4 linked regions of the Tamandua tetradactyla genome follow. The protein of the gene in region 1 interacts with the protein of each later gene in a biochemical or structural test. Links are inferred from orthologs where the notes say so. Each region holds a gene or a part of one and is shown in the gene's direction. Other genes may lie near its edges.

Evidence for each region.
Region 2: the proteins of ACVR2A (region 1) and GDF2 form a complex in vitro, tested with the Homo sapiens proteins (2 studies listed by BioGRID). The link is inferred for Tamandua tetradactyla from reciprocal best matches to the Homo sapiens genes ACVR2A and GDF2.
Region 3: the proteins of ACVR2A (region 1) and BMP2 form a complex in vitro, tested with the Homo sapiens proteins (3 studies listed by BioGRID and IntAct, with this or other methods). The link is inferred for Tamandua tetradactyla from reciprocal best matches to the Homo sapiens genes ACVR2A and BMP2.
Region 4: the proteins of ACVR2A (region 1) and SYNJ2BP form a complex in vitro, tested with the Homo sapiens proteins (2 studies listed by BioGRID and IntAct, with this or other methods). The link is inferred for Tamandua tetradactyla from reciprocal best matches to the Homo sapiens genes ACVR2A and SYNJ2BP.

The regions. Positions count from the first base shown.
Region 1 is NC_135329.1:117,679,262-117,686,965, forward strand, and holds the start of ACVR2A (activin receptor type-2A), read left to right. Parts: upstream 1-4,701; 5' UTR 4,702-6,589; coding exon 6,590-6,683; intron 6,684-7,704. UniProt on the Homo sapiens protein: On ligand binding, forms a receptor complex consisting of two type II and two type I transmembrane serine/threonine kinases.
Region 2 is NC_135339.1:8,348,214-8,356,130, forward strand, and holds the start of GDF2 (growth/differentiation factor 2), read left to right. Parts: upstream 1-4,906; coding exon 4,907-5,243; intron 5,244-7,839; coding exon 7,840-7,917. UniProt on the Homo sapiens protein: Potent circulating inhibitor of angiogenesis. Signals through the type I activin receptor ACVRL1 but not other Alks. Signaling through SMAD1 in endothelial cells requires TGF-beta coreceptor endoglin/ENG.
Region 3 is NC_135327.1:54,115,577-54,123,541, reverse strand, and holds the start of BMP2 (bone morphogenetic protein 2), read left to right. Parts: upstream 1-4,949; 5' UTR 4,950-5,826; intron 5,827-7,002; 5' UTR 7,003-7,009; coding exon 7,010-7,352; intron 7,353-7,965. UniProt on the Homo sapiens protein: Growth factor of the TGF-beta superfamily that plays essential roles in many developmental processes, including cardiogenesis, neurogenesis, and osteogenesis. Induces cartilage and bone formation.
Region 4 is NC_135338.1:28,569,433-28,576,446, reverse strand, and holds the start of SYNJ2BP (synaptojanin-2-binding protein), read left to right. Parts: upstream 1-3,997; 5' UTR 3,998-4,132; coding exon 4,133-4,196; intron 4,197-7,014. UniProt on the Homo sapiens protein: Regulates endocytosis of activin type 2 receptor kinases through the Ral/RALBP1-dependent pathway and may be involved in suppression of activin-induced signal transduction.

The DNA.
Region 1 (7,704 bases):
TAGCAGAAGAGTAGATAAACCTAGTTTTTTACAGATTATAGAATTTTCTGCCATGTAACAGCATGAGATTTGCCAGTAAGGGCTGGTTAATGGAAATAAAACTTGGTACAAATGTTAGTTGTTGGCAAGGATAGTTTTCTCGAAAATACAAACATCTGTAAGAACTTCCTTTACCTTCAAATTCAGTGAAAGTAATTATGCAATTTTTTTTCACTGATGTAATAGAAAGAGCAAACATTCTACAGGGAGAAAGCCTTTCTGTACCAGGGTGTGATGATATATGATGTGACCTTGGGAAAATTTAACCTTAGTTTCTTCATTGGTGAAGTAGAGTTTATAAAACCTCCTTACAAGATTACAGTGGGGATGAAAGGCTACACACAGAAGTGAGGGCATGCACACAATACATACATATATATATACACATACATGGTCTAGAAAGACTACATAGGTACATATGAATGATTTCCTCTCTCTAGTGGTGAATTTATGGCTTTATTTTCTTCTTTTTAAAATGTATTTTATAATTATTTCTGATGAGTATTGCTTTTGTAATTAAAAGTTATTAAACTAAAGTCTTTATAACAAGGAGCTCTTAGGAGTCTAATAAACATACATTTATCTTTTACCTTGAAAAAAAAATATATATATACACATACATGATATGTGTTATATATATGTTTCATATATATATATGAAACTCTTTAAACTTCAAAATGTTAAATCAGATATGTTAATTATTTGGAGTAGAAAGCAACAGGACGGGTTCAACTGAACTATAATTACACTTCTGACTCAGGATTTGTGGTGCTTTATGGATACACATTTATCTTTAAGTTGTGAATAAAGGGCCTAATCTGTAAACAACTGCATATAAAATGTTAGAGAAATGTTTATTATTTACAGCAGCCTACAAGGCACTGCATGATATGGCCCATCTACAACCTTATGTTTTGCCATATTGGTCCTCTGGTGGTTTCTCCTAGAAGCCATGTATTTTTTTAACTCCTCCTGAGCTTTTTTCTCTTTTACCTTCCATTAATACTTATGAAGGAGACTTATCTGTCTTCATCACTATAGTTTCCCCAGTGCCTGGCACAAAATAGGTGCTTAATAAATATTTGTAAATGAATATTGAATACTTTCAAGCACGTAGGACATGGGTCCATGACTTTTTTTTAAACAGCCAGATAGTAAATATTTTAGGCAGCCTTTGTTGAAGTTATTGAACTCTGGCATTTGTTGCATGAAAGCAGCAATAGATATTTTGTTAATGAGTGACTATTAGTGTGTTCCAATAAAACTTTATTTATTAGACACCAAAATCTGAATTTCATATAACTTTCTTGTATCACAAAATATTCTTTTGATTTTTTTCAACCATTTCAAAATATAAAGACCATTTTTTAGGGGGCTCTACAAAAACAGTCTGCAGACTGAATGTGACCTACAGGCTATATAGTTTGCCTGTCTCTGACAAAGAATATTGTATTGGTAGCATCCCTCCTCCAACTTAGAAATATATTGTGTTCCAAAAAGTTTGCTTGGAACCTAGGAAGTATTTTCTTATAGAATCATTGTTATATGTGTTGATTAAGTGCCAAGACCAGTGCACAAGCCAGTTTTACTTCCTGTGTTCTGTGTTTCAGCAATACAGTTTTACCCCAGGAATAACACTGTCTCTAAGGAAAATGGATTTAGTTTTCCTTGTTTGTCCAGAAAGAACACCGGCACTCTCCTCAGCATTATCAAAATTTCCTTCTTCCCTGATTTGTCTTCTCTGCCTGCTGAACTTTACATTCTGGGAAGTAGCCATCTCTAAGCTTCTGGGGGCTCCAATAGAGTGGTGTGATGGCAAGACTAAAAATAAGTTGATTTTTTTCTTTTTAAGTTCAGAAATTTACAAAAATTAGCAACATACTATACTCACCAAGTGACAACTTTCCCATATCCCCCCGAAACCTCTAATCTACTTTCTGTCTCCCCAGTTTGTCTCTACACATTTCATGTAAATGAAGTCATACAATATTGGTCCCTATGTGCCTTTCTTATTTCACTTAGCATAATGTTTTCCAAGTTTATCCGTGTTGTAGCTTATATCAGAACTTAATTCCTTTTTGCAGCTGAATTATATTCCATTGTCTGTATGTACCACATTTTGTTTATTCATTTCTCTGTTGAGGACAACTGTTTTATTTTCCTGCCTTTTGGCTGTTGTGAACAGCACTGCTATGAAAGTTGAGTCCATCTTTTCAATTTCTTTGGGTATATACCTGGGGTGGGCTTGCCAGGTTATATGGTAATTCCATATTTAACTTTCTGAGGAACCATCTGAGGTGGATGTTTGTTGCACTTACTTCCAACATGGGGTCCTCAGTGTGTGCATGATGGAGAGGTCACAGGGTTGGCTGGAGGCGAGGAAAGGTGAGTTTTCTTGGTGAAGATTCTCTAATCCTTGGTGAAGAGTCTCAGCTAAAGTGCTCACTTGCACTGGGCTGAACCTCGGAACCCTTTGGAACTAGTGTCCCTTTGGGAGGGGTTATCAAAAGGCATGGGAAAGGGCGGACCACGGTGGCTCAGCAGGCAAGAATGCTTGCCTGCCATGCCAGAGGACCCGGGTTCGATTTCCGGTGCCTGCCCATGTAGAAAAAAAAAAATGAAAAAAAAAAAAGGCATGGGAAAACTTTGGGGTGGCTGTGTTAATGTTTCACAGGTTTATGCCCAGACGTATCAAATTATTTACTTTCAATATGTGCAGTTTATATGTCAATCATACCCTGATAAAGCTGTTTAGAAATGAAATAAAATTAAACCTGCACTCCTTCCATCACACTCACCACATTTTGAGTGCTCAGCTGCCATGTGGGGCTGTGCAGATGGAGAATATTTTCATCATTACAGAGAGTTCTCTTGGACAGTGTGGGTCTGGAGCAAGGCCTTCGACAATGGCTGCACCATTTTACATTCCCACCAATAATGCACGAGTGTTCCAATTTCTCTGCATCCTCTTGAACACTTTAATTTTCCTTTTTAAAATAATAGCCATCCTTGTGAGTTTGAAGTGGTATCTTCTTATAGTTTCCATATGCATTTCCCTAATGGCTAACCATGTTGAGCTGCTTTTCATATGCTTATTGACCATTTGTGTATTTTCTTTGTAAAAATATCTATTCCATCTTTTAATTGTTTTTTTTTTGTAAAAATATCTATTGTCCATCTTTTAATTGGTTATTTGTCTTTCTGTTATGGAGTTGTAGAAGTTGCTTATATGTGCTGAATATTAACCTCTTATCAGATATATAATTTGCAGCTATCTTCTTCCATTCTGTAGATTGTCTTTTTGCTTTCTTGATGTATAAAAGTTTTTAATTTTGGTGAAGTCATACTCATCTATTTTTTTCTTTTATTGTTCATGTTTTTGGTGTCTTATGCAAGGTTATGATGATTTGTCCCTATAGCATAAGGTGTTCTAGTTTGCTAGCTGCTGGAATGCAACACACCAGAGACGGATTGGCTTTTAATAAAAGGGGATTTATTTTGTTGGTTCTTCAGAGGAAAGGCAGCTAACTTTCCACTGAGGCTCTTTTCTTATGTGGAAGGCACAGGATGGTCTCTGTTGGTCTTCTCTCCAGGCCCCTGGGTTCCAACATCTTTCCCCAGGGTGACTTCTCCAAAGGCCTGGGCTGAGCTGCAAGTGCTGTGATGAGGAATGCTGAGCTGCTAGACTGTGCTACATTGCGTTCTCTCATTTAAGCACAAGCCAATTAAGTTAAACGTCACTCATTGCAGCAGACACGCCTCCTAGCCGACTGCGGATGTAATTAGCAACAGATGAGATTCACCTACCATTGGCTCATGTCCACAGCAACAGAACTAGGTGCTTTCACCTGGCCAAGTTGACAACTGAATCTAACTACCACATGTCCACCCCTTGTCAACTTGGCAGCTACTCACATCACCTTAAACAGGTGCAAAATATTCTCTTCTGGCTGTGGACCTGTGAATCTCAAAATAAGTCCGGTGCCAATATGCAAAGGAGGATAGTCAAAGGATACAGATTTTCATTTCCATAGGGAGAAATTGGAAGGAAGATCTGCAGGCAAACACCATTGGATTTCCAAGTCTGAAAGTCATTTATCCTTCGGCTGTAGAAAGTGGCAGTCCCACCCCTTCCAAGGGCCTATGCAGTGGCCGGCCTCTTTCCAAATCAACCTTGGGGAACATCGAGGAGACCACCTCTGGGCTCCACTCTCTCCAGGCATCAGGGCCACCCCTGGGCTCTCTGCCATTTCTGGGGCGCACGCTCAACCCCTCCACATGGTGGCAGCCAGGCTCTCCCAGTCCCCCAAGGAGCGTGCTATGCCTTTTCCAAGGCCCGAGGCTGCACAACTATTCCACTGCAATGAGAGGGGAGACTCACCCTCTCCACACATACAGGTGGGCCCACTCTCCTGGCCGAGGTTTCTTGGCTTCAGACACGAACTTCCATGGTTCTCACTCTGCAAACTCCAACCTCTCCCTTTTGTGTCCTCCTTTGTCAAGACTGGCGGTGGTTTCATTTACACCAACAGTCTCTTCAAGCCCTCCAAGACTTCTCCATCAATCTCTTCACAGTTCCTCCAAAGTCTTCCCCTTAGCCATCCAAAACACAGTTCCAACAGATCTGGCATTTGCAAACCGTAGCAGCACCCCACTCTCCGGTACCAACTCTGTTCTAGTTTGCTAGCTGCTGGAATGCAACACACCAGAGACGGATTGGCTTTTAATAAAAGGGGATTTATTTTGTTGGTTCTTCAGAGGAAAGGCAGCTAACCTTCCACTGAGGCTCTTTTCTTATGTGGAAGGCACAGGATGGTCTCTGCTGGTCTTCTCTCCAGGCCCCTGGGTTCCAACAACTTTCCCCAGGGTGACTTCTCCAAAGGCCTGGGCTGAGCTGCAAGTGCTGTGATGAGGAATGCTGAGCTGCTAGACTGTGCTACATTGCGTTCTCTCATTTAAGCACAAGCCAATTAAGTTAAACGTCACTCATTGCAGCAGACACGCCTCCTAGCCGACTGCGGATGTAATTAGCAACAGATGAGATTCACCTACCATTGGCTCATGTCCACAGCAACAGAACTAGGTGCTTTCACCTGGCCAAGTTGACAACTGAATCTAACTACCACACATACTCATCTATTTTTTTCTTTTATTGTTCATGTTTTTGGTGTCTTATGCAAGGTTATGATGATTTGTCCCTATAGCATAAGGGTTTTATGATTTTAGCTTTCATGTTTAGATTCTTGGTCCATTTCAAGCTGATTTTTGTATATAGTGTGAGGTATGAAAGGTTCAACTTCCTTTCGTTTTTCAGTGGAAATCTAGTATTCCCAGCGCTATTTGTTGAAGAGACATCTTTCCCCACTGCATGTACTTGGCACCCTTTTTGAAAGTCAAGTGGCCACGGATGTGTGCGTGTATTTCTGGACTCCCAATTCTATTCCATTGGTCTATTTGTCCTTCTTCTAGTGTCACACTGTTTTGGTTACTGTAGTTAAAGTTTTGGAATTGGGAAATGTGAGTCCTCTAACTTTTTCTTTTTCAAAATTGTTTTAGCTACTTGGGGGCCCTTGAAATTTCATATGAATTAGAGGATCAGCTTTGTGAATATGTGTAAAAAGAGCTTTATGTATTTGATTAGAAAGGGGAGAGCATGGCAGAAGGGTGAGGGGAGAGATAGAGTGCAAGTTAGTTTGTTTTCAAATTGTAGGTCCTAACCCATTGGAGAAAGTAAGAAAGTAATAAAATAGGAAATATTAGAATGACTCATAAATAGGGTAATATTATTATATGTGTGTATGTACTGGGTCACAGTGAAAAATGTATTTCTTAATGTGGTTTTTGGTCAGGAGAATATCAAAGCTGTATTCTACAGGACTTGAGATACTGATTGTGCTAGTTTGCTAACTGCCAGAATGCAACACACCAGAGATGCATTGGCTTTCAATAAAAGAGTATTATATACTCTTTAGTTAACATTATAGTTCTTCTGAGGAAAGGCAGCTAACTTTCAACTGAGGTTCTTTCTTACATGAGAAGGCACAGGGCGGTCTCTGCTGGCCTCTGGGTTCCAACAGCTTTCCCCGGGGTGATTCCCTTCTGCATCTCCAAAGGCCTGGGTTGAGTTGTGAGTGCTGAGAAGAGGAATGCTTTGGCTGTGCTACGTTGAACTCTCTCATTTAAGCACCAGGCAATTAAATCAAACATCATTCATTGCAGTAGACACATCTCCTAGCTGACTGCAGACGTAATCAGCAACAGATGACGTTTACATGCTATTGTCTCAGGTCCACAGCAATAGAACTAAGCACCATCACCTAGGCAACTTGACACCTGAACCTAACTACCACACTGATCCTGGAATTTTCCGTTATTGTATATAAGAGCCAAATGAAAAATATAAAAAAACCTCTTCACTGCCTGCTATAGTGTGTTTCTGGTGCTGTGCCTTATGAGGAAATTACCTGTTTTAAAGATGAAAAAACAGGATCATAAAACTAATAAGCCTCATAACTGAGATTCAAACAGAGGCTTGACAGTAGTTTAGAATATGTGCTTCATCCATTATGCCATGTTCTCCTTGCAGGAAAAGAAGCCATGCATGACTTCAGTTTGTTTCACCGGGGAAAAAAGTCCCAATTCAGGTAGCTCACCTGATTTCTTAAGACAATGGTTTGACTAAAGTAATAAGATTAGGACCACTGGAAAGGAGTGAAGGAAATGGTTAGGGATCCTATATGAAGAACGACGCAATATATAAGAGAGGAGGAGGCTCTATCATTTTGCCTTGCTTTTTTCTCTTTCTTCCTCTGTACTACTAACCCTGCTCCTTTATATCTTACCATCAGTATGGACTTTTAATTAATAGACATAACAAAAAATTGAGAATTGAGGGTTAGTGGAGAAAAGTAACATAATCGTGCCTTTAACTGTACGGGGAATGAAGAGGGAAACCGAAGTAGCAACGCCACCTGGGTCCCAGCAGGGTTGACCCCAGGTGGCAGTTTATTAGTGGGTGTAAGTAAAACAGGACCTGCTTTTTAAATTGTGTTACAAACAGCATTCTTGGCTTTGGAGACTAGTAGCTTTGATATGCTAATTAAAAGTAATTCTCTTAAGAAAAAGTGTCCATTAAGCAACATTTGGTTAGTCCAGATTTAGTTACCAAATATAAGTACTTAAAAGTCATAATATGTGTCTTTAAATCATCTAGTTTCTTTTATATATTGAGTTAACAAGTATGGTGAAAACTAATTCGGGCTAATTCTGAACTCTAACCTGATTTGAAATTATCTTGAGGAGAAAAGGATTGATGGGAAGGCTGTTCTTAACTAGAAAAGTAAAAAAACCCTAAGAGACAGATTCCTGGTTTAATTGAATGCAAAGATGGCATACCTTATAAAATGTGTTCTTCTTTCCCAGCCTGAGTTGAGATTCTTGCTTCTGCAATGGAAATTACTAACCCATATGGAATTAGTTTCCACTAGTAATATCTGAAGACTTAAATGCTATCTTTCGGCCCCATTGCTTACCTCTGTGTATTGCTCACTATTCTATATTATAATTGCTTGTTGATATGTAAATATAACAGCTGGCTCTAATTTCTTTGAGATTCATTCAGTGTAGTATTAAGTTAGTGTTGCTTGTAAGTTAAGATCATTGGAG
Region 2 (7,917 bases), on another chromosome or scaffold:
CAGTCAGGACCAATGAAATACCAGGAAACTTTCACGGTGACTTCCCAGACAAGACACCTTGCCCGCTCCCCCCTTCCCCTGCCAACCCCACTGGAGGTGTGATGATGGATGCGGACCTTCCCAGCCATCCTTGTAGACACAGAGGTGGATCATCGGGATCCATGGCGGTGGAAGCAGGGCTGAGAGAGGAGGAAAAATCGCTATGATTTTGCCTGTCCTGGAGCTCAAGCTGTACTAAAGCCGAATCGCGGTTGAATTTTCCAGCCCCCATTTGACACTCACAATCCTTTTTTGCTTAAGCCTGTTTGAATTCTCCTTTCCTGCGACATGCAACAACAGGAATTTAAATGATACACAACTTTACAAACAAAGTAAGGAGCATACCTGTATAGTCCAAGCTTGTGCACATCACACCTGGATACCCCAAGTGACTTCAAGTATGAATCTAAGGCAAAAATTACAGACACTTTTTCCCAGTGTCTCTTACATTTTTTGCCAGTGGTTCCTGTGTGTAAGATCACAGACATAAAATTATTATAAATCAGGTCTTCAGTCTTTGAATAATGGCATGGAAGGACTTCCCTAGAAAATCCAAGTGGCGTGGTAAAAATAGTACTCCATTTGGGGGAAGAGGAGGGGGGGAAAGAAGAGCTGAATACAATATAGTTTTAATTTTTTCTTTTTATTAGTGGTTATAGATTTACAGAAACATCATGTGAAAAATACAGGGTGGTGTAATGACCTGTAAAATATAGTAGCAGAATTCTGGCTTACCATGCCAGAGACCTGGGTTGGATTCCTGGAGCCTTCCCATGCAAAAAAAAAAAAAAGATGTATACACAGATACATAAATAGATAGCATTTTCATATACCCCCTGTTGTTGACATTTGGCATTAGTGTGGTACCTTTGTTACATTTTGCAGGAAAACCCTGGATCTTCTGGAAAAGACAGAACAAGACCCAAAGAAATGATGAAAGAATATTAAAATTGTACTACTAACTATAGTCCATTGTTTACATTAGGGTGTATTTTTTCCCATATACCGCCCTATTATTAATACCTTGTAATAGTGTTTCATTTGCTATAATTCATGAAAGAACATTTTTGTAATTTTGTAATTAACTATAGGCCATCATTTATAATAGGGTTCACCGTGTTGCACAGCCCTATGTTTTATCTTTTAATATTTATTCTAGTAAAGATATATGACCTAAAGTCTCCCTTTTTAACCACATTCACATATATAACTGTTGCTCATTGTTCTCACAATAATGTGCCACCATCACCACCATCCATTTCCAAAACTTTTCAATCAACCTAAATAGAAATTCTGTGCAAATTAAGTGTTCACTCCCCGTTTCCTACCGCCCACCCAGCCCCTGATAACCTAGATTCTAACTCTGTGAGTTTGCTTTTTCTAGTTATTTCATCTCAGGGAGATCATAAGCTATTTGTCCTTTTGCGTCTGGCTTATTTCACTCAACATGATGTCTTCAAGATCCATCCATGTTGTTCCATGTCTCAGAACCACATTCCTTCTTCATGGCTGAAAAGCATCCTGTTGTATGCATATGCCACATAGTTATCCTTGCATCAGTTGACGTTTGGATGGGCACTTAGAGTTGCTTCCAATTTTTGGCAATTGTGAATGATGATACTGCGAACATTGGTACATAAATATCTAAGCGCCTGCTTTTGTTTCCTTGAGGTCAATATCATCTTTCGGGCTCGATCGAGTCTGCCCCTCCCTGAGGCCCCGGCACTAAACAGCAGCCGGTCACTGAGCGAGAGGGGGGCCTTTTGCGAGAGGATCCTGGATCTTCTGGATAAGGCAGAACAAGGCTCAAACCTTTTCCCCTATGGCCCAGAGTTAGGGAAATCTGTTCTGATAGACTCAGACCTATGTGTACCAAAAGATAACAAGGCTCCTGAAATCAAATCACCTTGAAAAAAGTGGGGGTTGGGGTAGGTGACCCAGGCTCACCATAGAAACATATGGCTTGTCAAGGAGGGCAGGTTGGAATCTGGAGCATTGCCACGGCTGCCTCTTCTCTCCACCCAGCTGCCCACCACAGAGCTGTGCCTTCAGGAGGATGGGTTAGCACTAAGTGTGCCTAGAAAACTGTGCCCTTGGTGCCCCCAGGAGATGTCACCATCACCTGGGGAGAAACCCGGAGAAGCTGGAGCACCCTGGCAGCTGTGTGCAAGCAGTGGTTAGATGTGTAGGGCCCATCCCCAGCGGTAGATGGGACCTGCTGGGACCCCACCTTCCCACATTCAGAAGCTGTCACCTTCCAACCCTCATCTCCTCTGGGTTAAATAAACTCCTGGGGCCCTTGGACAATCCAGAAAGGGATGTCCCAAGAAGGAAAGATTAGAAGTCCTGGCAAAATGGATCTGGAGGCCTCCAGCACTTTATTTAAAAAGCACTGAAGGAGGGGTGGGGAATGGTGGCTCAGTGGCAGAATTCTCGCCTGCCATGCTGGAGGCCTGGGTTCAATTCCCAGTCCCTGCCCATGCCAGAAAAAAAAAAAGCACTGAAGGAGCTGTGGACCCCCTAGTTTTGGGGGTAGGTAACACCAGAAATATGTATTATCCAAGGATGCTGCATTACACACCCACAGGAGGGTCCATGCAGCTCCAAGCATGTCCAGCCTCCAGGGGCATATGTTTTAAAACAATTCCGTAGTCCTTTCCCTGACATTCCAAAATCCAAAGTGTCTTTTAAATCCTTTCATGGCAAAACTTCACCTGAAAGGACATTTATATCTATTTATTTGTTTCACTGCAGAAAATATTGATCTGTTCTCGATTACAGGGTGTTACCCCCAGCTGCACTGGAGATGTTACAAAGTTCGTGCCATATTAAATGTCCCAAATATAAAACTTCCTGAATTCCAAATGCTCCTGGCCAGGGGGTCTCCAGTCAGAGAACTGTGGAGCTAGTTGCATCTCAAAATCTCAACTGCGGCTTTGCGGGGCAACAAGATTTGTGGGTTATTTCCTTCTTTATCATGTCCTGCAGTTTCCATAGTTTTCCCACCCTGTAGTACCATCATCATCAGAAAAATGAAACATTCTGTTACATTTTTTAAATATCAAGTAGCAGCATCTTAACCCTTCCTGAGAGCTTCAGGTGGCTGCCGCTTGTCCCCCTGCTCAGCCTTTTCGATATGAGAGGCATCTCAGGTGACTCCAGGGACCCGAGTGGGGTGAGGGACCCTGCCTAGCCCCCAGTACCTCCCTCCTCCCTGTTCTGCGAGTCGCAGCTCCACTTCCTGGCAGTCCCCAGCTTTGCACCATTCATCTCCTCTGCTGGATGGAATTTTTGCACTGAGCTGGCTCCACACCCAACATGTTTCTTGCTCCCTCTCCAAGCAGCCCTTCTGAAGCTGCGCCCCCTCCCCAGGAGTATCCCCAAAGGATGGGACAGCAAGTAAGTTCTGTCCAGGACCCACCGTTCTGTAACTCCTGGTCTCACCTTCCCCGACTAGGGGTTGGAAAGAAAACTGGGCATGCACGTGGACTTGCTGACCACAGGCCAGCTGTGCCCCCTCCTGAAACTTCCGGAACCAGCTCAGCTCATTGCAGCCTCTCCCCGGGAGCCCCACCGGGGCAGACAATATCACATTCAGATCCTCCCCAGCATTCCTTGCTTTGGTCAAAGCCACACGTGACACGAATGGACAGAGCCTCAGTGCCGCCATCTAAGGGTGTCCTGCTCTCAAAATAGCACAGTCCCTGGGGGGCTGGCAGGCCCCTCTCTACTCAGGCCATAGTCTCCTTGGGTCAGAGGTCCAACCAGGCACCCATCGGCCTCCGCACCAGAAGTCAAGGCACTGCCCCTTCCCCTCCCCTCCTCAACTGCCCAGAGCGCCCTGCTTTCCTGCTGACAGATGTGGCCCCGGCGGCTGCCCGATTCACATGAGCAGGGCCTCCCAGCCTGGGATGCAGGGGCTCCAGCCACAGCAGCTGGTTTGGGGTGTTCCTGCTGAGCAGACTGGGGGGCTCGGGGCTTCCCCACCATGTCCAAGCTCAGCCAGACCCGGGTGGGAGCTAGAGCTCCACCAACCACCAGCCAGCCGAGGCTTGCCCTGTGTTGTCCCTGTGAGAACCACCCTGAAGTCTTCAGACCCCCATCCTTTTGAATCCTGAACACCATCTTCTGGAATAAATACCCTGAGCCCCAGTTTCCAGGTGCCAACCTAGAAGCTCAAAGAGATTCCATGAGGTCATTGCTCAAGGACGAATAAGAGAGGGCATCTTTGTCACCAGAGGGTCTTTGTCACCAGATCTAATTAGACATGCCCTATCCATGCATGTGGCCTAATGCTCCAGGGCTGGTTTTACAAAGGAGGAAACTGAGGCACACAGAGGCAGGATCTGCTTCCACGCCCAGCAGGCGTCTGTGGCCCTAGGCGTTTGGTGTTGTTGCTTCTATATTCGGAAACCTCTCTGGTATCCCTTGTTTCCTGGGTGCTTTAAGTTTCTGAGGCCTGAGAGATGGAGGATGCATCACCCACCCCACCCCCGCCCCCCGCCCCCGGGCCCCAGGATTGCTCAGAACAAGAGCTGGCAAGGAAATGGGAAGGAATCCTAATTAGGGGGCGATAACCCCCCGGAGAATGTGGATTCCTCACAGTGTGCACTGGCCTTCCCCAGGCCCTGCGCCCTGGGCAGATGTTTATAGAGCCTTCATTAACACAGAGAGTCGCTAGATAAGGGGTCGAGCGTGGCAGCGAGGGCCAGATAAGCGCGAGAGGGGGACGCGCTCTGACGGCGCGGAGAGCTTGTGCCGGGAGCGGCAGGCCGATGCGGGACCTCGGGGCCAGCGCCGGAGCCCGCTAAGGCACCCGGGCGCTGCCGCCATCCCCGCTCCGGGGGGCCCAGAGCGCCTCCCCAAGATGTGTGGCGGGGGTCTCCGGGCGGCCCTGCCCGCGCTGGCCCTCCTGTCCTGCTGCGTGCGGGGGAAGCCGCTGGGAGGCGACGGGCGGGCGTCTGGGGGGGCCAAGGCCCCGGGCCCGCGTGGAGGCCCCCCGGGGGTGGGGGGCTTCGACCTGAAGATGCTTCTGGAGAATATGCGGGTGGATTTCCTGCACGGCCTCAACCTGAGCGGGGTCCCCGCCCAGGACAGGAGCAGAGCAGAGCCGCCGCAGTACATGATTGACCTGTACAACAGGTACACCTCTGACAGGTCGGCCACGCCCGCCTCCAACATCGTGCGCAGCTTCAGCGTGGAAGGTACGGCGGGGGTTGCACGGGGCGGGGAGGGTGTGGGGGTCGGCGGTCCCGGGCTGCACCGTCCCATGGGTTGGCCACCAGCCCCAGGAGGCCAACAAAGCCAACCTTTAAACTAAAACTAAATTTAACTTTAGTTCTTTAGTTTCACTAAGTGCATTTCAGGGGCTTAATAACCATGGGTAGCTAATGGTTACTGGGTGGGACAATGCAGATCATAGAACATTTCTGTCAATGCAGAATGTTCTGCGAGCCCCATTGCTTCACAGTGCTCCCTCTCCTTCTTGGATCTCTTATACCCCTTCCCTTCCCTTCCTGCTGGTCCTCTTCCCTCCCCTATCCCTTCCTTTTCTCCCCTTACCATCCCCTTCTCTTCCCCTTCCCTTCCATTTCCTTTCCCTTTCTCCTCTCCTCTCCCCTTCCTTTCTCTCCTCTTTTCTTCCCTTCCCTCCTTTCCTCTTTCTCCCTTCCCTGTCCCTCTCCCTCTTCTGTCCCATTCTGACTTACAAACACTCAACTTATTTAATCCCCTACTAACTGGCATGTTTGAAGAACGCTCTATTTCTCCCTCATGATTTTTTAAAATTCAGGTAAAAACCATTGAAAGAAAAGCTTGGAAAAGAACTAATGTTTGTTTGAAATAAGTGTCTAGGAAGACTAGAAGCTAGCAAATGTTTGCCTCAGGGCAATGCAGTTCACTGGCTTCAACCCCACAGGAAGTAGGGTGAAATGATTTTCGGAAGGGATGATGAGGCTGGAGATGCAAAGGGAATTTGCCCGAGGTGAGGTTCAGGGGCATGACTTCAACCCAGCCCTCCAGTCCCTCCTGAACAGCCCAGAGCGCAGAGCCCTCCCCGCCCCGTTCCCCAGGCTTCAACCCCGGGTCTGTAAACCAGGTGCCAGCAGCTGGCCAGCTTGGTCATATGCCTGCCCAGTGGGGCCAGATCATCTGATTGCTCAAAAGAAGAAGAATCTGGGTTTAGATTAACTTACCTGTTTTTTTTTTAAAAAATGCCAGTCACGGGTCACCCTGATACTGCCAGCATCCCGCCAGGCCCAGGGGTACAATGGTGAACCCCGCTTTAGGGCCAGCTGGTCTTCTTTGGCTTTTTTCCCCTAAATCCCATAGTTGTGAGTCCAGCAGCCTGGGGCTGTCTCACTGGCCCCATCTCAGCAGGGAGCCGGCCACTGGGCCGCCTGTGGTCAGATCCCAGCTTACCTGCGGGTGGGAATCGGGCTTCCCTTTGGGCAGGGTCAGAGCCCGGGGAAGGAGGGAGGGAACTCGCTTCCAAGATGTCTGATTGCCATCCCAAAGCCACATTCGAGGGCTGCCACAGCTCCTGCCATGCAAACATGCGGCAGCTTGTCACATCTTCCAGGAGCCCAAGAGGTGCTTGTAGGCTGAGTAAGGGAACCAGGAGAGCACATGCTTTGTGAGAGCATGCGGCAGGCGTGGGCAAGAAGGGGGTGCAGGGGGGAGACAGAAACGTTTATTGAGCATTGGCCAGACATTGGGTCAGTTTCACGCAGCATTTCGTTAAGTCTCACTTTATCCCTGGGAGGAAGGCAAGACGACCCCCATTCTATAGATGAGGAAACTGAGGCATGGCAAGATCCAGGACTCCAAGGTCACAGCCCTGGTGAGAGGCAGAGACAGTTCTTCAGTCTGCCCGACCCCAAAGCCTAGTGAGTTTTCACAGCAGCACAGGATTTCCCATTCACATGGACCCGTCCTGGGCACTCATAGATTGACATGTCCCTTTTCTCTTTGTGAACTGGCCAGGGCATAATAGAACTTGCTAATGGCCACATGTCACCACAGAAGAAGGGAGAAATTGAGACAATTTGACTGTTAAACAGAAAGCCCCTATTTTTACCTAAAATGCCAATAGAGCTGAGACCAATTTTCTTCCCCTCAAAACACCAAGAAAATCACGCACATGCACTAGGCTTGGAAGACACCATTCCAAATGATTTCTAAAACTGTTTCAGCTGCTGAAACTAGCACGGTCCTAATGTTGTAATTTCAACGTCCCTTTAGAATCACGTACTCGGGGTCTTCACTCTAAGGTTGACAGGGATTTTGTCTGTCTTGTTTATTTGGTAGTTTTTTTCTTAAGTTATGACATAAGTTTACATGAAACAGGTAAGGGCGTTTAAATCCTTCAGATGTCTAAATCCTTAAGATTTAACAACGTACATGTGAAACGGGCAGACTTTGGCAGTTAAGTGCTCTGAGCCCCCGTGTCCACATCTGGAGAACTGGAATTAGACCCTCCTAGGGTAGGAGTGAGAATGAAATGGAAACATATTCCGTAAAGCTCCTCATTCAGTGACTGGCCCATAATGGGCAGTCATAAACAGTTAAGAACTGTCAACCCCATTCGAGGCATCTCCTGCCTTGACTTTTCTTTGGAAGACCCCCAATTCTCCTTTCAAAATACCCTTTTACCCTAAAGGCTTAGGGGAAACTGAATCAAGATTGAAAAGGGCCAAAAATGCACAGTAACTCGCCCCCCAACCCCCATTCATGGAAACCAGGAGACTGGAGGCTTTGATGCCATGAAACCGGGGCCTCCCACATGTATTTGCATTGCAGATGCCATTTCCATAACCACCTCGGAAGACTTCCCCTTCCAGAAGCATCTCCTGCTCTTCAACATCTCCATTCCCAGGC
Region 3 (7,965 bases), on another chromosome or scaffold:
GCCAGCACTCTAGAAGAGACTCCTGCCCAGTGGCCTTCTCCTTCAGCACACGCATTCTCAGGGTTCCAGAAGCTGCTCTTCCTGTGCCCTTGCAGCTGTCCTGGTTTGGCTTCCCAGTGTAGAGGCAGGGTACATCACTAGTCCTTATCATTACACACACCTTTGCAAAATATTTCTTTATTAAACGCTCTGAAACGGCCTCTTTGGCATGGCCCTCGTTTTTCTGCCAGGACCCTGCCTAGAGAGTTGAGTAATCTTCTAGAACTACCTTACCCCGATCCAAACCCTCCTCCAAATCTGAACCATTTCCTTGTGCCCTGCAAAACAGCAGCCTACATTTTCCTATCCTGATGTCTTGGCTTTTGGCTGCTCCTACTGTCTGGAATTGGGAGACCATTAGCATGGATTCTAGAATGGGCTATTGGACTTCCTACATGCTAGTTGTGAGATCTTAGGAAAATGGCTTAACCTTTCTAAGCATCTGTCAAATGAGCAAGGTTCTTCTGAGGATCCATTGAAACAACAAACAGAAAGCAGCTAGTAAAACTCTTTAAACTCAGAAACTAAAGATGTTGCTGGAAATCCTGCTACTGCTACTGCTGACATTTGTAAAGTATTAATCCTACTGAATCTCTGTTCTCCCTGAAATATTCCTTTCAAATGCTCTCTCTACTATGAATTTACTGGACTCACATTTCAAAGTGAGATTGCTCTCCATTAAACCTGACACACTTGCTTCTCACTTCTCTGAAACTCTTATCTCATATGCCTTATATGGATAATCTGTGAACATGTTCCATCACTTCCACTGAATTCTAAGTACATTACGTGCAAAGATTATGTATTTTTCTATTCTCTGGGACCTGAGTGACATAATGTCATGGACATACTAGCTGCTCAGTAAATTTTTGTAGAATGAATATGCAAAGAGAAATACCATGTGGGCGCTTTGTAATCTAATTAGCAAAAGATCAACACATTTTAATACACTGACTAGATATACAAATATATTGACATATGTTAACTAAATAATATTTAATGGCTATCTAAAATCACGTATTTGGGAAGACATAATTATTTTTCAGAAGCATGTATTCATTCAACCCATATTTTTGGACTCTATGGAGTATGAAAAAAATAACATAAGCCAAAAATATAACTTCTAAGTACAAATGACATTAGTTTGCATAAATATAGTGATTCAAATTTTGCAACTTTTTGTTGTCTTTGCATATATATTTTCATGCATTCTTCATGTCAGTCCCATGAGAAGGTCATATATTGATCTCTACATTTTATTCCTGAGGAAGCTGAGGAAAGGAGATTAGTTATTGCTTTAGATCGATCCAGGTGTTGAGCTTTATGACATAATACCTCACCGTACAGCAATGTGATAAAAAAAAGAAAAAACTGTTAAAACAACAAAAGACATACAAAATCTTATCTTTCAAAATCAGGCCATATTTCAGGCAGAAAGCTGAAAACTATATTTAAAGATACACAGATAAGTAGCAAATGGCATCTTGTGTTTGTATAAACATTTAAAAATTCTCCAGCCCATCATTACCAGTTGAGGCGGCAGAACAGAGCCTATTTACCCTATCAACAGATGGGTACAAGCGATGACATTTTTTAATTATAGCCTATATTTGCCTGAAAGCCGGGACTCTGACTTGGCATACATGTCCACTCCATCCATGCCTCCTACCATGTCCAGTTAAATAAACACCAAATAGGTAAGAGTTTGTTAGAGTAGACGCTGCTCTTTTTCTGTGGTTCCAGGTTCCTCAGAAAGAACTTCATTTGGGTGAAGAACTGGTATCTGGTGTCCCAATGGGAAGTAAATGATAGGTATGCTAAAAAGCCAAGAGTTTTCTCAGGGAAGTTGCCACAGGTTTCAACAGAATGACAATTACAAGGTAAATGGATTATTTAATGCCTGCTGTGACCTTTACAATATGCGGGGATCATTATTTTAATGTTAATTTGCATAATGGTTGGTCTAGTAAGAACAAGGCTGAATGCTAGCAGCTGCAGGATGCAATAAAATTAAACATTATCTGGGCTGGACTGCTAAAGGAAAAGTTGCCAAAGGATGACTCTTTAAGCAATTAATTTCACCTTGGGCTATGTCCGTACACAATCAAATGCAGATTTCCTGTATCTGTTGAAAAGCTGGCAAGAAAAATGGAATGGAGTAGCAACAACCTACTGCATGTGGAATCCTTACCTGGCATGCTTTTCGTGTATCCCCTTTAAGGCATCTGAATTTGCAACCACCACCTCTCCTCCAATCACCCCTTTACCCCCATCTATTGGCAGACATACCAAATTTGATACCAAGGAAGAATGAATCTTGCCATTTGGGTGAGATAACTTTGACTGAAACTGAGAAATGTAGAGTTGACAAAGGCTAGTCATAAGTAGTATCTTCAAGGCGAACACACACTGCCCCCTCAAAGTAATGGGAGGTCAATAACAAAGAGAATGAAAGAAAGGAAGATTATTTCCATTTAGATGTGTCGTTTTTAACTATTTCTGTTGCCTGGCATTGGAAAACCAGTAGATGTGGCCATCCAGGACGTAGTACCCCAAACCAGTCCTTAGGAGATGATTTTTATTTTATTTATGTATTGACTCCCCCCCCCCCCACCCCCACGAAGGCGTTCTGACTCATTTCCACCACAAGAGGGCAGCCATCTCTAAAAAACAACCAGAGAGCCAGGCTCTTAAGGGAGAAAGGCCAAAATTTAGGAAGATGTGCTTAGGAAAGGCATGCGGCAGCCTCTCAGCAATTGCATTCCCACCAGAAGAGATCCTGTGATGGGCAACACGGAAATTGAATAGAGGGCCCTGCAGTGCCCATCTTCCCTCAGATTCTTGACGAACAAAGATGAGTCCATAAACAGACAAGCTTCTTTTCTTAAGTCATGAAGGCCTAAAGCTGCAAAACATCTTTGATGTCATCACCAAAATTTGGTTTCCGTGTTTGCTTGGGGTGCTTCCAATAGCGATCAACTTGCCCCTCCTTTTTCAAGGCTACATAGGTTCGAAACTGAAAGCTCACCAATAACGGAACCTGCTGTTAACGTCTCAAACCTGATAGGAAAGGAAATCGTTTCAAAAGCACAATAAACACTATTTGACTTGGGTCGATGAGAAGAATATGTTTTATTGCTTGTCCGGTGTGGAATGATTCAGAATGACAATTAGCTTTTATTATGCTTTATTTTCAGGGAATAGAGAAAAACGTTTCTGTATATTTTGCACACAAACTCCCCTTTTAGTTTCCTAGTAGGCAAACTTACTCCAAAATACCTTACTTGACCTTTATACCTTCAGAAACAATGAGTCCCTAATTCCCCTCTGTGGGTTGCTAATCCGATTTATGTGAGCAGAACCTAGAATTATTTTAACTTCCCAACCGAAAAATAATACACAGGAATAATAGATTATTATTAGTTCTTGCATCTGATTTCTCTATCTCTTTGCTTGCAGGCACCAAGGCTCTGGTGCAAGCCAACCGATTTGGGGAACCAAAACTTTCCCAGAATTTTTCAGCTTTCGGCTTAGGGGATCATGTGGACAACTGGGTCACCGCTACCTATTGGGACTCCTGGAATTCTGGGAGAGAAAGAAGCCTTGACCCCGAGACTCAGGAGGCAGAAGGGCAGCAGCTTTGGGGAATATGTGAGCTCAAGAGGAAAAGCGACTTGACCACAAGTCATAGCCTCGCTGCTGGAGGCGGGGCGGAAGGGGTGGGGGGTGGGGGGTGGGGGGTGGGTCAGAAGTTTCTAAAGTTCCAAACCGGAATTATCTTGTATGCCTGGCTCACGCTGTGCGCTTTTTACTGTCCTCTGGGCTGCTAATCTCATGCCCCCGAGCCAGGCGAGATAAATATCGATATGGCAGCTCGAAGTGATTGCTGCCATAAAAAGATAAAACCCTTCCTTCCTGTCCTCTTCGGCTGGTACACACACAGTCCACTTGCACATCTGTCATATACAGCGGGTTGACATCTATTTCACATGTATACACATATTAATGGAATGCGTCTTAGTTTTCCTACATCTACATACACGATATAATTATGTACACCAAAGTGTTAGGGTTTAAACACACCCAGTTTCCAGCCTAAGGTTTTCTTTCTCTTCTCCCCCCCTACCCCCACCCCGGGAAAACACAGACGTGTCTACTCCACCGTTTTGACATCCCCCCGAACTTGGATGGGTTTTTTGTTTGTTTGTTTTTTAATCGCCTATTACTGAAAAAACCTTCAAACTAAAGTTGAATAACGGGCCCCGCGGGGAAACTGGGGCCTGACCCTTTATTTGTCCGGATTTCACCTCGGGAGCCCCCGCGAGGTCGGGCGCTCGGGATCCTCTCCCATTGGAGGGCAGGGGCTGGAAGCGCGAGCGCCCCCCTCGGCCACGCGGCTCCCGCTCGCGGCCCCACCCGCCGTCGCTGCTCGGGCGCGCCGTCCACACCCCTGCGCGCCGCTCCCGCCCGCTCGGGGATCCCCCGCGCACTGCGCCGGCTCGCGCAGCCAAGGGGGAGGTGTTCGGCCGCCGCCGGGAGGGAGCCGGCAGGCGGCGTCCCCTTTAAAAGCCGGGAGCGCCGCGCCACGGCGCCGCCGCCGCCGGAGTCCTCGCCCCGCCGCGCCGCGTTCGGCTCGCGCTGCGCCCGCCGCTCAGCTTCCCACAACCCGCCGGGGATTGGCAGCCGCCGCCCGACAGCAGCCGCCGCCGCCGCCGCCACCGCCACCGCAGACCCGGACGCCCCTGGAGGCGAGCGCCGCGCCGATTCCTCGGGGGCTCGGAGACACCCCCGCGTCGCGCACTCGGATCGGGCTGAAGCGTCCGGCAGTGCGCGCCGCAGCGCCGTGGCCTCGGCTGTCCGGGCCGCGACAGAGCCGCGGAGCTCCGCGCAGAACGCCGGGGAGTTGGGAGCCGAGCCCGAGCGCCGTGATGCCGAGCACCCCCCGCCGCGGTGCTGGGGCCCGGGACGCGCCGCCTGAGTTGTGATCGGACATCAGGCTGGCCACAAAGGGCAGGGCACTTGGCACCGGGGGATTCGAAGAGCGCGGCCACCCCGCCTTGGCGGCTCGGGGACTCGACTCGACTCGACTCTCTCTCCGGAGAATGCGCCCGAGTACGACGGGGCGCCGGAACCACGGCGGTTTCGCTAGTGGAGCGCTAATGGGGGTGCGCTGGAGTAAGGCAGAGTGATGCGGGGGGGCAACTCGCCCGGCACCGAGATCGCCGCAGCCGCTGCACCCCTCCCCGGAACCGGCGTCGCCCAGGATGGCTGCCCCGAGCCATGGGCCGCGGCGGAGCTAGCGCCGAGCGCCCGACCCTCGCCCCCTGCGTCCCGGAGCCGGCCCTGTGCGGGGCCACGCGTCCCGCGGGCGCTGGTTCCTAAAGACGACGACAGCACCAGATTTTCCTTTCTCCCTTCCCTTCCCTGCCCCGCAGTCCTCCCCCCGCTCGCTGTTGTTGTGTGTCAGCACTTGGCTGGAGACTTCTTGAACTTGCAGGGAGAATAACTTGCTCTCGTGCCGGTGCCTCTCTCCCAGCCGGGCCAGCCTCGCGGCCCTGAGCCCCGCCGCCTGTCTGCTCCTCGGCTGGTCCGGACCCCTAAACGCCGTTCCCAGTGCGGAGAGGGCCGCTGCCCAGCAGGCGCCCGGGAGGAGGCAGAGAAGGCAAAGGAAGGGAGCAGACACCCAGTTCCCGCGCCAGGTCCTTCGGCCAGAGCTTTTTCCATGTGGAGGTTCTTTCAATGGACGTGTCCCCGCGTGCTTCTTAGACGGTCTACGGCCTCCTAAAGGTAGAGAACGCGGGCGGGGGGCAGGGGAGCGGAGGTGGGGGCGGTGGACGCGGGACCCGCGCGGGGCTCGGACGGCCGCAGCGGCTGAGCCGTCCCAGGGGCCGGGCTGAGTGGACGTAAACAGAGCGCCCTCCTGGTCCACGTGCAGCCGAACCCCTGCGGGGTGCCGTCATCCTGCCGCCCCCGGCCACTGTGTAATCTCGCCCGCCTGTCTGTCACTCTTCGACCCCCGACCCCCTGGGTATTTTATTAGGGCTGTTAGCGCTTAGATGATTTTAAAAAAAGAGAGAATCAAAATCCTTTAGAGAGGGTGGCCCTTGGATTTCACCCGTTAGCTGCCAACCTGTACCCCTGCAGTAGCAGTGCCATCTTCTCCAAGTTTTTTTTTCCGGAGACCAGCTCTCTATGTGGAGCCACGTTCCATTTGGAAAAGCACTAGAAGTTGGGGTTCTCCCTGTGTTTCCAGACATGCGAGGAGGGAAGTACTTCAGTGCCTCCTTGTACTGTATTTTTAACAGCTGACACGTGAAACATTAGCTATTAGTCATTCACGTAATCCCAGGGAGATGTATGTGTATCTTGTCTGCGGTAGAGGTGGGCGGGGGTGGGGAAGCCTACCCTGACGCCCCCGAAGTTCGGGGCGTGGGTCACAAGTTGCGAATGCTGTTCGGAAGTTGTGGCCTTGAGTTTACAGGGTCTGGAAGTTGTAGACTGTGGGTGTGTGTATCAGGAAGTCTATACGGTGCCTCTAAGGAAGTCACATGCACCATTTTTTGCATGTTTATATGCAAGCGAGCGCTGTGTGAGTGTGTTTGGGGTTTGTATAGGGGACGCAGATTTGTCGGATCCAGGGGCAGTTTCCCCAGGTTCCCTGTACTTGCTGTCAGCGTGGGTGTCGCAGAAAAGAGGTGATAGTCTGCAACGATGGGGGCGGGGGTGAAACCCAAATCCGAGGGCACATGGGTTGAGAATGAGATGGGAGGGGGAAAGCCATAGGGCTGTGGAACGAGGGGCCCTCCATTCTTCCCAAATATCCGAGCGTCAGCTCCTCTGACTTAGCCCAGTTAGTGTTGCAAGCCAGGTGGGCACCGTGGAGGAGGTGGCAGCAGACCGAACGAGGGGCAGGGGTTATGTTGTGCCGGGAACTCGGTGACTCACCGTCGATCCTGTCTGCAGGTCGACCATGGTGGCCGGGACCCGCTGTCTTCTAGCGTTGCTGCTTCCCCAGGTCCTCCTGGGCGGCGCGGCCAGCCTCATACCCGAGCTGGGCCGGAGGAAGTTCGCGGCGGCGTCGGGCCGCTCCTTGTCCCAGCCCTCGGAAGACATCCTGAGCGAGTTCGAGTTGCGGCTGCTCAGCATGTTCGGCCTGAAGCAGAGACCCACCCCCAGCAGAAACGCCGTGGTGCCCCCCTATATGTTGGACCTGTACCGCAGGCACTCGGGCCAGCCGGGAGTGCCGGCCCCGGACCACTGGCTGGAGAGGGCGGCCAGTCGCGCCAACACGGTGCGCAGCTTCCACCACGAAGGTGAGCCGCCCGCGGAGTCACCGCACCAAGCCCTCCTGGAAGGGCACTTTGGCCAGGGAGCAGTGGGTGTTTCCACTCTTGTCGCTGTTGGAACCAGGCTTTAAGGCACTGCTTGTGCAGTGGGGGAGCCAGGGATTCCCCTTAGTAAAGCTGTACCTTTTTTTTTTTTTTTTGGCGTGCAGCCAGAAGGGCGACTCCTCCCCCAGGAACTGGAGAGAAAGCAAGTGATGGGGAAGATGAGGGCAGAAGGCATGCCCCCTGGTCAGCTAAACGTGCAAGAATTCCATAGGGAGAGAGGGGAGGGGGTAAGAATCGGGATTTCTTTGTCTGTTTGGAAGCCCTTACTCTATAAATCTCTTCTCGTGCCAAGCCAGGGTTTCAGGCTAGACAGAGCCAAGGACAGAATTTTCAGAGATAGTATTGGAAAATCAAAGCCCAGGGCCCTAAAGTCTTTCTAATTTACAGTTGATCTGGGTCTGGGTTGGAAGGTTTTGAATCCCTATCTAATCCCCGTGGGAGATCAATTCCACAATCAATCTTATTGTTTCCACAATGACTTTCTTGTCTTGTGCTTGAGTCTGAGATAGGCTCAGAGTAGAGACAAGGAAAGCCT
Region 4 (7,014 bases), on another chromosome or scaffold:
AGTGGAAGCATTTTGGAGAGAGAGAGAGCAAACGAGAACCACGAGAGTCCAGGCAGCCTGAGACCTTTGGAGATAAAGAAGGAAAACGCCCCTGGGGGAGCTTCATGAAACAAGAAGCCAGGAGAGAAAGCTAGCAGATGTCACCATGTTCGCCATGTGGCTTTCCAGTTGCAAGAGAAACCCTGAACTTTATCGGCCTTTCTTGAGTGAAGATAACTTCTTGTTGGTGCCTTAATTTGGACATTTTTATAGACTTCCTTTAATTGGGACATTTTCACAGCTTTAGAACCGTAAACCTGAAAAATTAAATTCCTTTTTTAAAAAGTTATTCTATTTCTGATAAATAGCATTCTGGCAGCTAGCAAACTAGACCAAATACATAAGATGATTTTTCAGCAGTGGCCATTCATTATTTTGCGTTTATGAATCTGTAAGAAATTGTCTTAAATTTCAAATGTTCTGCTAATTCTAGTCCTTTCTTCGCTTCCTCAATATCACCTTTTATTGCTGAAATAAGTGATTCTAAAGAATCAAAGTTCTTTTATGGTCTGAGTTTGCCAACAGCCACCACATTGAGTATTTCCTCAATTCCTCTTTGAAGGTATACCTGATGTGAGTTTCCATGGACTTTTTCGTATTCTTGTATTATGGGTTCCATACTATGCTCACTACCATCTTATAGACATCTCCACTTCCATCTCTGGCCCAACCATAATAAATGACATTGGCTATATCAGCTGGAAGATTATCTACTTGTTCAGTAAAGTTAACAGTGGGGATACCCAGCTGCTTGGAACCAAGACTGAAGCCCCACCTGGCTGTGGCAGAAGTAGGGCAGGTGCCTCATGATGCCAGGTGCTGGTGGTGCGTGTTCGGCCCAGACCTTGGGTCTGGCTGGGTCACCGTGTAGGTGATGCATGAGCTCTCCTGGACCAACCGGAGGCCACGGAAAAGAGATCGGCCACTCGGGTGCACAACTGGCTGGGTGGCACCGAGGAAGCACCCTGGTGGATCGCTCATGTCACTGACCCAACAGAAGCTACCGGGCGCTTGGGAGGTCACGTCTAAGCCCCCAGGGGCAGCGGCGGCGTTAAGGGCGGGAATGGGCAAGGAACACTACTCAGGTGGGCCGGCAGCACGGGAAAGACCCGATCCGCCCGGATGCTGTAAGGCTCGTACACTCCCAGCCCTCTTCCTGTTAACACACTGTTTCATTTGGCTAGAATTGTGGCAGATAGGGAAGGAGGGAGGGGAAGGTGACTTTATGACCCATCACTAGCAAAGAGTAAAACAACAGGAAGTTCCTTTTGGTACATGAACATCTACTCTTCACTCCAGTTGGCAATGGAAAAGAACCAATGAGAAATGCTGCTCTATCCTTCGTCAGCATAAACAAAAGGGGAGGGGTCCCTCCAAGTCCTTATAAATGCAGGAATCCCAACCCCAGTAGACACTCGCCCCCTTCAAGCCAGTACTTTTGCCACTTATTAAACTTTTCTTGCTGTTCACACTGACTAGTCCTTGAATTCCTTCCTATGACTTAAAAATTAGGCTCAGGGCGTCAGCCCTGCTTGAGGTCTCCACCTCTTGGAGAACTCCTGAGGGCTCTCTGGCATCAGAATGACCTCCTCTTTCTTTGTCAACTGACACATTTATTCTTTTAAACCTGACTCAGCCATGACTCTCCAATAAAATTTTCTCTGTCACTACCAGATTTACTCCCAGACATGGTGAATTCTTACCTAGTTCAGACTACTCTATATTTTTGCTTCTTGTAAATGCCTTTATTACTGTAGATATCCTACCATGTTAACATAATTTGTAATTTTACCATTCTACTTCTTTTTCTAAACTGAAAGAGACGTGCACAGTAGAAGATGTTTTTTTCCTCTTTTCTTTTTTTAATCTTTTAATTTTATATCTACAGCATCTAGCATAATGCCTGACACATTATCAAGTGCTTAATAAATTTGTGTTGAATCAAATTAACTGAGCTGTTTTCCTGAGGAGAACTGGAAGTGAGGATGTTGTGAATCTGATTGAGCTTTTTTTTTCCTGACTGATTTTTAAGTTGAAAAAATAAATTTTAAAATTTCATCTTATTTAATTCATTCAACAGTCTTTTAAAGAGCTATTATCACACTCTTTCAGATGGGGAAACAGTTCAGAGATGTTAGGCTACTTGCCCAAAGCAAACAACAGGAAGGAGAAGGAACTGAAACTTGAGATCATGTCTTCTAGCATCATCTCCTATATTCTTTCCATTATCCATACTAATTTCTTTCAGGGTTAGCAAACAGGTTTTCCTGTTGAATGCCTCTGTCTTGTTTTGTTTAGTGAATACAGTTTTTGGTTTGTTTTTTTAAATCTGAGTTTGAATTCCTTTATGTTGGACTTCAATTTCCAATCCTTCATGGTCTGCACCAATCCCTAGAGTCTAGCTCAAGGCTGTGCCACACATTCAAGTCACCTTCCTGGTCCTTACTGCTTTTGAGTTTTTGACTATAGCAGGTTCCTTTAAGCTGAATCTGGAATGTCCTATCCCAAAAGTCAGGAGGGCTGGGCTGAAATCACAACAAGGTAGTACATATATAGTAAGGGTAAATTTTTAAAAGATTTAATTTTTCTGTTGCCAAAAGAGAAACGGACATTCCCCCTCTCTCTTAGAGAATTTGAGAAAACTTGTCATTGTAAATCCTTCCTCTGTCCCTTTGATATGAGTATAAATCTTTTCAAAAGCTAAATAAGCCTCTCGCTTGGTACATCCCAAAGATATTTTTCTTAAGGGTCTGGGAGCCAACTCTTTGAAATACATATATCAAGGATGATAGTATCTCTATCTCCCATCACCAGAGACGCTGTTAGTCTATGCACCTTCCTCTAAGTGGTAAGTACTTGCTTGTCATCAGGATAGGGAAGTTTTATTTTTCATTTATTAATTAATGCAGACGGCCACCTGCAGAGTGCATTACCAAATAATGTACACCAAACTGTATTGTCAAGTAGTCTTACCTGAGAACATTCATACAATGAACTATATCTGGGCGGGGGGGGGGGGGGCGGCACAAAGCTACACCAGACAAAGTTAAGCAGACAAAGATGACTTATTTAGGGGCTACCATAGCAGGAGAGAGAGAGTGGAACTCAATTCCATCTAAGGGCTGGGAGTCAATTGGAAGAAAAGCACTGGAAAATAGTAAGAGAGATTGATCACTGGGGTAGGTGAGCAATTAACTGAGGTTGCATTTAGGGTGGTTTGATTCCACCTAGATAAGTAAGGGATTTACTAATGTTGCCATTAGGACTACTAGGTCTGCAATGTTTTCATTTGCGTTATTAGGTGGCCTGGAGCCTAGAAGGGCCGGGAAAGAGAAAACGGGCGAATCCCTTATTGAGTAGCCGTGTGTGAGAAAGAGAGAGACCGGGCGGTCCGGGCAAGTTTGATATTTAGAATACAGTCCGACGTTTTCTTTCTTTCTTTTTTTGCTTTCCCCCCCTGCAGTCCGAGTTGTTTTTCTCTGCTGACCCTCAACTCCAAAATTAGCTTCAGGATAGTCAGGGGCAGGAAGCGGGTAGGGGCAAATGAAGGAGTAATGCTGGCAGTTTGGTCAAGAGAAAGGGTCTTGATTACATCTGTTTGGAAATATAAAAAAGTGAGGGTTCTTTCTGTCTGCAATCTCATTAGCTGCCTGCTTGTAATATGCATTACAGACAGATTTAATACTTATGAATAATAAAACACTTTTTCATTTCTATTTTTTATGGAGATTTTCTAGGTTGGCAGGGTATTTTATTTTTACTTTTTCCCCAAGCATAACACTTCATTTCTGTCCCTTACCTTTCCAATGCCTCTCCATGCTTTCAACAGTAAATCAGGATCGCAACCGCTCCCTGCTCACCTCAGGTTTGGCTTGGAAGAGCGGGTGAGGCGACGCACCGGGTCGGGACGAGAACCACGACTCCCAGCATTCCCAGCGCTCCAGGCACCCCCCACTTCCCCTTCCGGTCCGGAGGCTGTTGAAACCGAAAGTGCTGTACCATAGGCGGGTGTAAAGGGGTGACTGATTCACCTTCACCTGTAAGGAGCTCTACCTAACCCAAGTGGGAAGCCAGGAAAGCAAAGCAGTAAAACATGAATGGAAGAGTGGATTATTTGATCACTGAAGAAGAGATCAGCCTTACCAGAGGACCTACAGGTATGTGCCAAACGGGTCCTGCCTGAATTGGGGACTTGGGGGTATAAGTGAATAGCAGACGCTTCTGCCCAGCCGGATTCACTTGGTCTCGGAGCTTGCAGGCCCCAACCTAGAGTTTTCCTGCAACGCTTGCCGGTACCTAAAAGAAATATTTTGACAAACATCGTTGCCCAGACACGGGACTCAGCAATTCATCTCATCTTTCACTCGGATTACCCCGCGTATTTGAGTTAGGAAAGTTTTTTTTTTCCCCCATTAACGGGGCAGAAAAACCTAGAAGAAAAGGCACACGTGTTTTTAAGCCAGTTTACCGTGGATATCACACCGTTCTTTCCGTTGCCTGCTCTATCCCAGTTCCTATGAGGGACCATTTAGTAAAACTGGGAGCATGAACGGTATGGATTCGGAATGCATAGCTGTTTTCGTAGTGCTAGGATCTCCTCTCTTTTCTTTTCTGGGAAAGTCATTTAGAGCCTCAACTAGAATGTTAAAGCGGAAAGAAGCCTGAGGGAACTTCTGTTATAGCAATTCTCAAACCTAGTTCCGCCTCAAAACATCCAGGGTTTTTTTGCCCCCCCCCCCCCTTTTTTAAATAAAAACGTCAATTTCCGTTAGGGATATGAATTCAGTGTGGATTTTTTTCTTCTTTTTAAACAACACCGCATGTAATTCTGATACAATTCAATCTACGATTATCCCTGCTAGCCTCCCTCTTTCTCTCAGCGCTCACCCCTGCCCCCTTCCCTACACACACTCTTAACTCCACTGGGCTATAAATAAATCATCAAGTCCTATGAGTTCTATCTCTGAAATGTTTCTGAAATCATTCCACTTCTTTCTGTTCCCATCATCACCTCTTAGAATTTTTCGATAGCTTAACCATTACATTTATTTGTAATAAAATGTGACTTTCAGAATAAGCCATACTTTGTCTTCCTGTTATAAAAAATTAGAAGTAGACTTTACTTAAGAGAATATCACACTCATAGTTAATCTGCTCCATTTGAGCTCCTAAACTTTTGTCAGAGGTTCATTTATTATGCTCAAATCTCTTGAATTCATTTTTCTTATTTTATGTAAATTTCTCCTCTTATTCTTAATAGTTATTGACTTTTCAAGGTAACATGAAAGTTATTATTAAAGCAACATCTGTCTTTCTTTGCTTTTCATCTGTTGGCCCTAGTTCTTTTCATAGAGCCAATGAAAACAATGCAGACCTTAACTTCTTAGTGTTAGCATTTTTCTGAATCATTGGAGTTAAAATAAACTCCAGGGCACTACTTAAATGGAACAATTATATCTAGCTAATTAGAGACTCAGTTTCTCTATTGTATGTGTATTTATCCACAATGAATGAATATATCCATGGTGTGGCTTCTTGAATTTTCCTAAGCATTTTCATGAGAGCCCATGAATTTAAGAGCTTAGGACAATAGCTCCTCAAAACTAGTATTGAACCTGGATGAAGAAGTCATTGGAAGTCAAGGAAAGGTCAAGTTCCTGTTTATCACTTTCCAGAGCTGGCTACGTGGTATGTGGTACTCCCGAGAAGTCTAAGAGTCAAATTCAGCTTTTCTTCATTGTATCATATGAAAATATACAGGGAAGAACTCAGTTATCACTAGAAACTTCCAGATAATTTTGGTCATCCCATAGGGATCTTTCTTTCTATAGAAAAATAGGAAAAGCCACTGGTTACAAGTATGCATTTCTGTTTGTATGCAGCATTCTCACTTCTTATGATATCCTACCAGGAATCCAATAGTTTACTTTTGCAGCACGTAGCTTCTACTGTTTGGGCACATTTTGCAAGGCAAAAGAACCTATTCCTCCCTGATCCTGCTTCTTGCAAGGGAAATAATGAATGGCAATTAATTGAGTGTCTGGGAAGACAAGAAGAAGCTTGGCATCTATCTTGTGCTTACTTCCTCAACTGAAAGGAAAGGCTTGGTCTAGAAGACTTCTGACGCTTCTTCCTACTCTAACAGTTCATGATTCTTTGGCTTATTCCATATATTATTATATGATTCCTACCATTTTGTACAAACTGTGGTTGATCTGAAGAATCCTCAAAGGCAGTGGTTACAATCTGAAGTGCCTTCAAGGTTTGGACATTGACCTTTTATCTTAGTTTGCCAGAGCTGCTATGACAAATACCATACAGTAGATTGGCCTAAATAACAAGCATTAAAAAAATTGTCTCATGGTTTTGAAAACTTGAAGTCCAAAATCAAGATATTAGCAAGGCCATACTTTCTCCTGGAATGGGTAGCAATTTGGTGATGGCATTCCTCTGTCATATGGTGTTCTGCTTCATTCTCTCCTTCTGTGGCTTTCATTGACTTCTGATTTCCCTGAGCGCTTCAGAATTTCCTCTTTTAATAAGGTCTCCTGTCATATAGATTAAGGCCTACCCTCATTCAGTTTGATCACACCTATATAAGGACTATACAAGATCCTATTTTCAAATGAGTCCACTTCTTGACTCACTTAACATTTTCAGATATATCATTGACATCTGTGTTCACACCCGCTGGAATGTTGATTAAGACTTGAACTAGTCTTTTGTGAGGTATATGATTCAATTACCAACAGCTTTTATTCTTTGTGGAATACGTCACTTTTCTTTTTGTGGGAGCCCAGCTTGGTTATAGTCTATAAAGCTCCCTTTTTTTTTTCCTGTCTCAAATTGAGAGTTTCTGATATTTGAATGTTGAACTCAGTTATTCTGAGAATTAAATCTAGCTTTTCTTTACTCGAGCAAGTAGAGGTTGGCAAGAAGACAACCTCTTCATTTAATAATAAATAATTAACAAAG